Ovis aries: one gene and its partner. The main gene of each other region encodes a partner of the protein of the gene in region 2 in a complex. Links are inferred from orthologs where the notes say so. Each region holds a gene or a part of one and is shown on either strand. Other genes may lie near its edges. The genes, in order: AP1S3 and AAGAB.

Region 1 (4,351 bases), on a different chromosome or scaffold from region 2:
CATGGACTATAGCCCACCAGGCTCCTCTGTCCAAGGGAAAACAAATACATAAATGAGCAAAGTTTTAAAATCCTCCTTCTTCCATCAACACTGGCAACCATGCAATAGTAAATTCTCCCCAGTTAAGTGTTTAAGTGCAGTGGTCTCACAGCCAGTGGGGATCTCTGAAAACACAACAACCCTAGCTTTATTTCCCAAGGTAGAGATTTCTAAAACAAAGGCAGGGTGCAAAAGTACAAAGTTGATGCAAACAGAACTACCCAGCTATAAGCACTGCTCCTAGATGCAAAGTGTATGAAATTTCTGCCCTTGAAATCTAGATCACTAGCCCAGTGGAACCAAGGACCATTTTCTGTGTGTAGGTACCAGCAAGATGCTGTGGGCATCTTCTAGTTTCCTAGCAGCAAGAGTCAGGAACGAAGCAGAATAAAAACAAGGAGTCACAAAGTGATCCTCACTAAAAAGCCTAGAGATGCTGGGCAATGGGGAGGGCCACTTATGCTTCTCTGCCACGTGACAGTAATAAAAGATAGGAAGTGACAGTCACTGAGCACTTACAATGGGCAAAGCTGGTCTACCAGCTTTCACTTGCATTCATGCACAGAACCTGCCTGGGATTCTTTTCACTCTTAAAAACTCAGCCCCAAATAATAAAAATAAGGTATTAATTAAATGAAACAACAAAGCAAAACACGTATATATATTTTTAAAACTTCAGCCCCAAAGACTTTTTGTTTATGTAAGTTGTATTGATGTTTACTGTATTGCGAATTTAAGCACAGAAAAAATTTAGATACTTATTACACTTCACTTCAGTCGCTCAGTCGTGTCCGACTGTTTGCAACCCCATGAATTTATTAATTCACTTAAAACTATAATCAACCTATTACACATTAACAGAAGCTCTTTAATGAACAGTAACAATATTTTCCAAAGGAAAAAAATTAGAATGGCATTGTTTTACATTTTGGCAAATTTCCTTAAAGTCTGGCTCAATAGAAGACAGCTGGACTGGCCTTGTGCCTTTGCCTTCACTCTGCTGCACTCTCCCAGGTCAGGTTAACCTTGAGAAAACATCACGTATACTCATGTAGGAATGAACGTGTAAAGGGTAAATAATACCTTTGTGTTATTATGAAAAGAGTTTTGGCCTTCTGGACTTCTAAAAAACCTTGGGGACTCCTAAACGTACCCAGACCAAAGTTTGAGAACCACTGCCTTATGAGTTAGGATCAATTATTATCCCTACTTTATAAATGAGCAAACTGGCATAGAGAGGTCAAGGCATGATCCAAGGACATGTTGCTGGGACAGGCCAGAGCAGGTAAAATGCAAAGAGCATAATACTTTCATTTGGTTGGATGTTGCACGAACTAACTGAGATCATGAAGGTAGAAGATAGAGTTGGTTATCACAAGCACTCAAAAACATCAATATCTCCCACTGGGCAAGGTCTGATGAGAAACAAGAGACACTGCACATTTTTGATCAACTCATCATTGACACCAGCAAGAAAAAATAAAACTCCACTGCAAGTGTTGTCCAGAACTTGTACCAGCTTTCTGGATGGAAGATTTTTGCAACTCACAAACTCCAGGGCCTCATTCCATTCTTCATGAGGCAAACGGTGCAGTGTGCTGCACATATGTCACTGTGTTCCTTGAGAAACCTGAGCAAGCCAGAAGAGTTGCTCCATTATTTACAGGTTCCTTTTTGCACCATGCTGTATTTACAAGGAACCCTCAACAAACAACAATGGTGCCTCCAGTCTATGCAGCCAAACCTAGGAACCACCATCTGTGATCTTCTGGACCAGGAGCTCAGCACTCCGCTGCCCTCCTTGTCCATCAACTTTTGTAACCCTCGGGGCCTTCTTGCTCCGCCTGCAGCGAGTACTCAAGTACAGAGTGCGGGTCACTTTTGTTCCTCCTTTGATTTGGGACGTGAGCTCACCTGGGGAAGTGGAACTCGGTGCTGTTCAGGCCACTGCATACTCAAAAAAAAAAAAAAAAAAAACCTGCCCTGAACAGAAAGCAAGAACGAGAGAGGCACTTGAAGCTACTGCTTCCATCAACTGCAACCAGGATCTCTCAACTGGATCAGTGCAGACTGGTCCCCCTCCACTCGGTTGGAATAAAATCCAAACCCCTTAACTGGGCTTATGAGGATTTCTTATCTGGTACCTGACAACCTGTCCCACTAGAAGCAAGGGTTCCTCCTCTCCAGCCTTTGCTCTCTCTGCTCCCACTACCTGCAATGCCCCCCTAGGACTTCCAACAGCTCAGATGTCACCTCCTCTGGGAGGCCTTCGCTTCTTGCCCCTCTTTTATAGCTGCCTCTCCATCCCTGCCTCCGGTTGTACTTGAGACTTCAGAGCACTTACTCTCGGAAGTTATTTCGATTTTACTGGTCTATTACTCATCTCCCTCCTTCCACATCCTCCTCCTAGAAGATAAGCCGCCAACAGCCAGGGCTCCACCGGGTCCCCACGACGTCTCCGCCGCCTGGCACCGCGCCTGGCACAGACTAAGCGCTCAGCAAAAACGGTCGAATGAATGGAGCAGCGGCGCCCCGTGGCCGCGAGGGACCCGAGCTGGGGTCCCTGGGGTCCCGGGCCGGGGTCGGGATGGCGGGGTGGGGGACCGCGGGGCGCGACCGGGCTGCTCCCCTACCGGCCGCGCGCCCGGCCCAGCGCGGCAGGTGCTTGGGGAGGGCGCCCGCACACAGCCGCCGGGGTCCGCGCCGCCGCCCAGCTCTCCCGCACTCACCATGGTGGCCGGGCCGCCGCCGTCCCCGGCCGGCGAGGGACGAGCGCGGGGGACGCGAGGGCGAGACGCGAGCGCTGGAGCCGGCGCGGCTGACAGGTGAGGCGCCGGCATCAGACCATGGCTGCTTCCCACAATGCTCTCGAAGCGAAAGTTTGCAGACTCCGCCCCGCGCCGCTGCCCTGCCTCCCTCCCGCTCCTCCCGCTCCCTCCCTACCGCACTTCCTCCCCCCGGCCCCCGCACCTCCCTCCTTCCCCCTCCTGCTCGCCCGCCTCCCGCTCTTTCCCTTCCCTCATCTCTTCTCACCCTCCTTTCTCCTCCCCTCTCCTCCGTTTCCCGACGCCCTGCTTTCTGCTCCCTCCTCCTGCCCCGCCCCGCCCCCGATGGCCCCGCCCCCGATGGCCCCGCCCCGCCGCAGCTGGCCCCGCCCCGCGCCGCGCCGCGCCGCGCGGGCGGCCCTAGGTGCGAATACACCTGCGCGCGGACCTCGGCCTCCGGCCTGATCTGCGGTGCGCGGAGCACCAAGAGCTCCGCGGGTTCCGCACTGAGGAGCCCTGCGCAGGGAGCGCGAAAGGAGCTACTTTCCTGATTCACCCGCGCCGTGAATGTGATTTCATTCATTCCGCAAACGTTGATTAGACCTGGCTGAGAGATTTCCTCAGACACTTGCGGCAGGAAGTGTCACTGGTTGTCTTCTCCTGAACCAAGTAAGGGAGGGAGCATTTGGTAGAGCCGGAACCAGAAGCGATCTCTTGCCGCCGAGTTGTTTTTTTTTTTTTTCTTCATATGTGTGTGTGTGTGTATACAATCCAAGAACATAGGTCATTTTAAGCAGACCCGATTTTAAGAACTCTCTCCTAAGACTCTGGCGTGGACTTCCTAATCTTTCTTCTTCTCCCCTTGGTTTTTCTTAAGCCTTGAGTTTCCACCTGGGACGTTAGAAGTCTCCAAACCCTAAGTTGTACGTAGTGTTTTTGAGTGCATTTTCATGTTCTTTTGGTTGAGTCGATTGGTTTTAGCAAATACCTAAAGAGATCTGTGACCCTGAAAAGGTTAAGAACCTTTGCCTGAGTGGTTTCTGGAAATCAAAACTGGTGAATATCCTCAGATCTGCCTTGTACGGTGTGATCCAGCCCAGGTGACCTGAAGATATAAACTCCATATACCCCATGCGCTTGCTCCTTGGAAGAAAAGCTATGACAAACCTAGACATCATATTAAAAAGCAGAGACATTGTTTTGCCAACAAAAGTCCCACAATCAAACCTATGATTTTTCCAGCAGTCCAATAGGGATATGAGAGTTGGACCTTAAAGAAGGCTGAGCACTGAAGAATTGATGCTTTCAAACTGCGGTGCTGGAGAAGACTCTTGAGAATCTCTTGGACAGCAAGGAGATCAAACAGTCTACCCTAAAGGAAATCAACTCTGAATATTCATGAAGAACTCATGCGGAAGCTGAAGCTCCAATACTTTTAGCCATCTGATGTGAAGAGCCAAGTCACTGGAAAAGACCCTGATGCTGGGAATGATTCAGGGCAGGAAGAGGAGGGGCAACAGAGGATGAGATGGTTGGATGGCGTCACC
Region 2 (3,806 bases):
ACAAGTAGTTATGCTTATTTCTCCACTACTCAAACCATATTTTAACAAACTAAGAGTTCATACTGATACCTTCAATTCTAGTTCAGTACCAAAGGATTCAACCCAGCCTTCACCTTTCCTTCTTAGTAAATTCTTTCTCCGACAGTGAGAAACCTAGCTCTCTTTCTCTATGCTACATTTTCTTATTCTTTCAACCATAATATATGTAAAATATATTTACTTTCAGAATTTCAAACCCATATCCCTGTAAGAATCAAGTCTGTTAAGCAGAGTGTAGGATTTACGCTCAGTTCTCTTTGTTTCTGGCTCACGGCATCCAGTCCGGACACCACTTCCCCAGGTTCTTTAGGTCAGTTCTTATCCTCCCATCTCACTCAGTGTGGTCAATAGTTTGTTCTCACGGCAGAGACTTTGGTAGGTTTCAAAGCTAATATGAAGGGTTCGACCGAGAGGACAAGACTGAATAAACCGGAGAGAAATGAAGTTATACACAATTTTTTCTTCTTAATATACTTCTATAGCCAATTAGTTGAGTTTTCTTTATGGATTATTTTATAAACAGAAAAAATTTTTTTAAGACTTATTATTGCACATGGGCCCTCCGTGGCATTTAAAGTATTAGTGATGTGAGTAGTTTCCTAACAAAAGAACATTTAGAGTTACTGTCAACTAAGTGCCCTGGCCTTCTAGCTTTTTGGACAGCAAACTGCATTTCAGTTTCAGCTCCAAGACTTTCTTGTTCGATGCCCTTGGACAAGTTATTAAACTGCTCTGGGCCATACCTTCATCTCTGTAAAGTAACTTATCTGCCAAACTTCATTACCAAATGAGAATGTGGACATAAAAGAACTTTAAAAGAATATGAGAGGGCTTATAAGACTATATTCTTCTTGTTACCAATTCTGACTACCGTAAAATACCATGAAAAAATGGTGGAATATGGAGATATAAAGCTGTTTCACCACCTGGTTCGATCTACTTTAACTCAGATCTTAATCAAGATCCTGCTGAGCCAATCAGTGGTGCCCACGGATTTGTACTATAATGTATTTACTCTCCCTGCCTTTTCTGCAGCCGCCCACAAGGCTCACATTCATTTGGGGGTCAGTGCTGACGTCCTTGGACTCCCTGGAGGCTCAGTGGCAAAGGACCCACTGCAGGTGACGAAGTTCCGATCCCTAGGTACGGAGATCCCCTGGAGAAGGGAATGGCAGCCCACGCCAGTATTCTTACCTGGGAAATCCCATGGACAGAGGGGCCTGGTGGGCTACAGTCCACTGGGTCGCAAAAGAGCAACTAAACAATAACCACGGTCAATGTCCTTCCCTTACCCCTGTTTAGAGTCAGTTTCCCTTTGCATGATTTGTGCCCCAATGCATGGGCTTTGGCAATTTCCACAGAGCGGTCACTTGGCAGCCACACAGCACTTACCCACAATGCTATCGACCTGCACGTCTGCTGTGTTAGAAGCAGCCCCTCGATGATCCAAGAGGGATTCGGTCCTCTCTGCTGCTGGCACACAGGGCTGCTGTGGAGAAAAACACACACGAGCCACAATCTAACAGGAGGCTGCTTCCAAACCAACTCCAAAAAGGCTCACAGTTCCACTCGCTGCTCAGCTTTAGAGAAGCAGTAATAGGAGGGAGACACAAGGAGGGATGGAAGAAGGATCAAGGTCACATTATAAATAATATTAAAAAAAAGGCCAGAGATTCACTAACTTGGGGCTGTTTTTCCTCAGGGATAGAAAAGTGTTATGATTTTGCCTTTGACTATTAAAAACATATTGTTTGTTTTGTTTTGAATCACGTTTTACTTAAAACCTGAAAACGGACACAAGCCCATCACAAAAGAGCTCAGAGACGGAAGAAGGTGGCCCTGGGCAGACAGCGCAGCACTACATACCGCGCTCATGACTCCAGCGTGCCGGCCGGGACAGACATGGGCCAGAGTCCTTGTGGACGGAGGGCTGAAGCCAGCCCTCTAAGCTCATTAAGGACAAGGGCCTTCCTCAGACTGGAGAGCACACAGGAAGTGCTTAAAAGAACCATTACTTTTATTTTATATTTGAAGATCTGGGGGGAAACTTCAGCCTCAAGGAAATTCTAGCATGTTTTTAAAAGCACTCTAGCAAAAACACATGGAACAGCCCAAACTGTAAACAGAAAGGGCTTACTGCTTTAATGCCAACCTAGGCTGCTCTTAACAGACAGCAGACTCCTGGTACCCATTTCTGATATTCTCTACCACTTCTTAAACGGAAAGGAAAAGACGATGAATGGTGTAGAGACTCATGATGATGAGCAGAAAGAAAGAAAGGCCAAAGCAGAGAAACGATCCAGGAAAAATCTTTACCTCTGAGTGGCAGGTCTCTGCTGATCCAATGCTATGGTTTGCTCCAGCCAATGAGCTGAGAAGGTTAAGGCCTTGGTTCCTCTCTGAAGAGAAAAAGTACAATCAGTGAAATGTTTTATTTACATTTAAAGCTGTTAAAATGACTGTGATGATGATATGATAGCTATTTCCTCGCTATAAAAGTTTTAGCTATAAAAAAGTTACTATTAATTACAAACCCCTCTAAATTCTGAATAACTTTGAAATCAAGGCGTATTAGTCCAGATCAAATATATGGCAGGGCCATTATAACAAAAGGCTGCTCAGTAGTTCTGTTTGCAAAGATTAACAGCACTGATGTTTTAATAGCTACTATGAACAAATATTTCAGTGTCTAAACAACTGAAAAACATTAAAAAGAATCAATCAACGTCAAGGCATCATTACCAGATGAAAATGAACATTCATGCTTTCTTGAAATTAAGCTCTGTTTAATTCAGTTAAGGTTCCCAATACTTTCAGTATTTGCATTTATTAAGTAGTGTTAGTCACTCCGTGGTGTCTGACTATGCGACTCCATGGACTGTAGCCCACCAGGCTCCTCTGTCCATGGAATTCTCCAGGCAAGAACACTGGAGAGGATAGCCATCCTCTTCTCCAGAGGATCTTCCCGACCCAGAGATCAAACCAGCACCTCCTCCTGCATTGGTAGGTGTATTCTTTATTACTGAGCCATCAGGGAAGCCCAGGAATATCCTTAGGATCAGGAAAACTGGAGGGAAAACCAAACAACAACAACAATAAAAAGCCCCCAAAACAAAAAATCACTGCCTGAGAGCAGAATGTGAAACCCATAATTTAAGAGGCTGGCAGCACCGAAGTCACAGAACTGCTCTCTCAAAAAGATAATTTCCTCCTACATCACTTTTCCTCTCCTGTGGCTTCCCTGGCTCCATTCTCAACTCTCTTCAAACCACCTACAGACTTTCAAGGTCTTCTTCCCTACTGGGGGAAACCTGTCATAAGTCACACAGAGCACCACAGACAGACAAGCACTTGCAGGCTACTTGGGGAGGTCTGCCTTGGAAACTGGGATGGAGCCCGACTGGGGCCCGTGGAGTCTAGACCTGAAGCTTTTTCCAGGCTGACCTCTTACCACGTGGGCAGTCACCTACTTACTGCAGGCAGGTATCTACCCGAGTCAGCACCTATGCTTTAAGGCCACAAAGGCACTAGGCGGCACCAAGTGTCTGCTGCTGCCCTGCTGCCTTCCCTGCTCCACAGCCAAAGGTGCACACGTACTCCTGGAGCCCCCCTCACCCCTCAGCCAAACTGCCCACTTGGTGAGGAATTCTCTAGGCCCAGTGCTTGGGTATGCCCCCCATCCAAGGACCAGACACTAAGGTTTCATCAAGGCAGGCCATGGAGGCTCAGAGGCTGAGAAAAGCAGATCCGTGTGATGTCCCACACTG

Evidence for each region.
Region 1: the proteins of AAGAB (region 2) and AP1S3 are in contact, whole or in part, in a crystal structure (PDB 9DDT), measured with the Homo sapiens proteins. The link is inferred for Ovis aries from reciprocal best matches to the Homo sapiens genes AAGAB and AP1S3. Residues at the interface, in NP_078942.3 of Homo sapiens: Asn51, Lys52, Tyr53, Tyr54, Glu108, Val109, Met110, Ile111, Gln128, Ile132, Gly135, Phe136, Glu137, Asp151, Phe153, Pro154, Glu155, Arg161, Gln164, Ala165, Asn167, Ala168, Asn169, Val170, Met176; in NP_001034658.1 of Homo sapiens: Arg10, Gln11, Lys13, Arg15, Gln37, Leu40, Ser41, Arg61, Tyr62, Ala63, Ser64, His85, Val88, Asp92, Phe95, Val98, Glu100, Leu101, Asp102, Ile104, Phe105, Asn106.

Annotation. Positions count from the first base shown.
Region 1 is NC_056055.1:226,006,450-226,010,800, forward strand, and holds the start of AP1S3 (AP-1 complex subunit sigma-3), read right to left. Parts: upstream 2,907-4,351; 5' UTR 2,880-2,906; coding exon 2,769-2,879; intron 1,987-2,768; coding exon of another isoform or gene 1,954-1,986; intron 1-1,953. UniProt on the Homo sapiens protein: Subunit of clathrin-associated adaptor protein complex 1 that plays a role in protein sorting in the late-Golgi/trans-Golgi network (TGN) and/or endosomes.
Region 2 is NC_056060.1:14,007,598-14,011,403, forward strand, and holds part of AAGAB (alpha- and gamma-adaptin-binding protein p34), read right to left. Parts: intron 2,439-3,806; coding exon 2,356-2,438; intron 1,529-2,355; coding exon 1,432-1,528; intron 1-1,431. UniProt on the Homo sapiens protein: May be involved in endocytic recycling of growth factor receptors such as EGFR.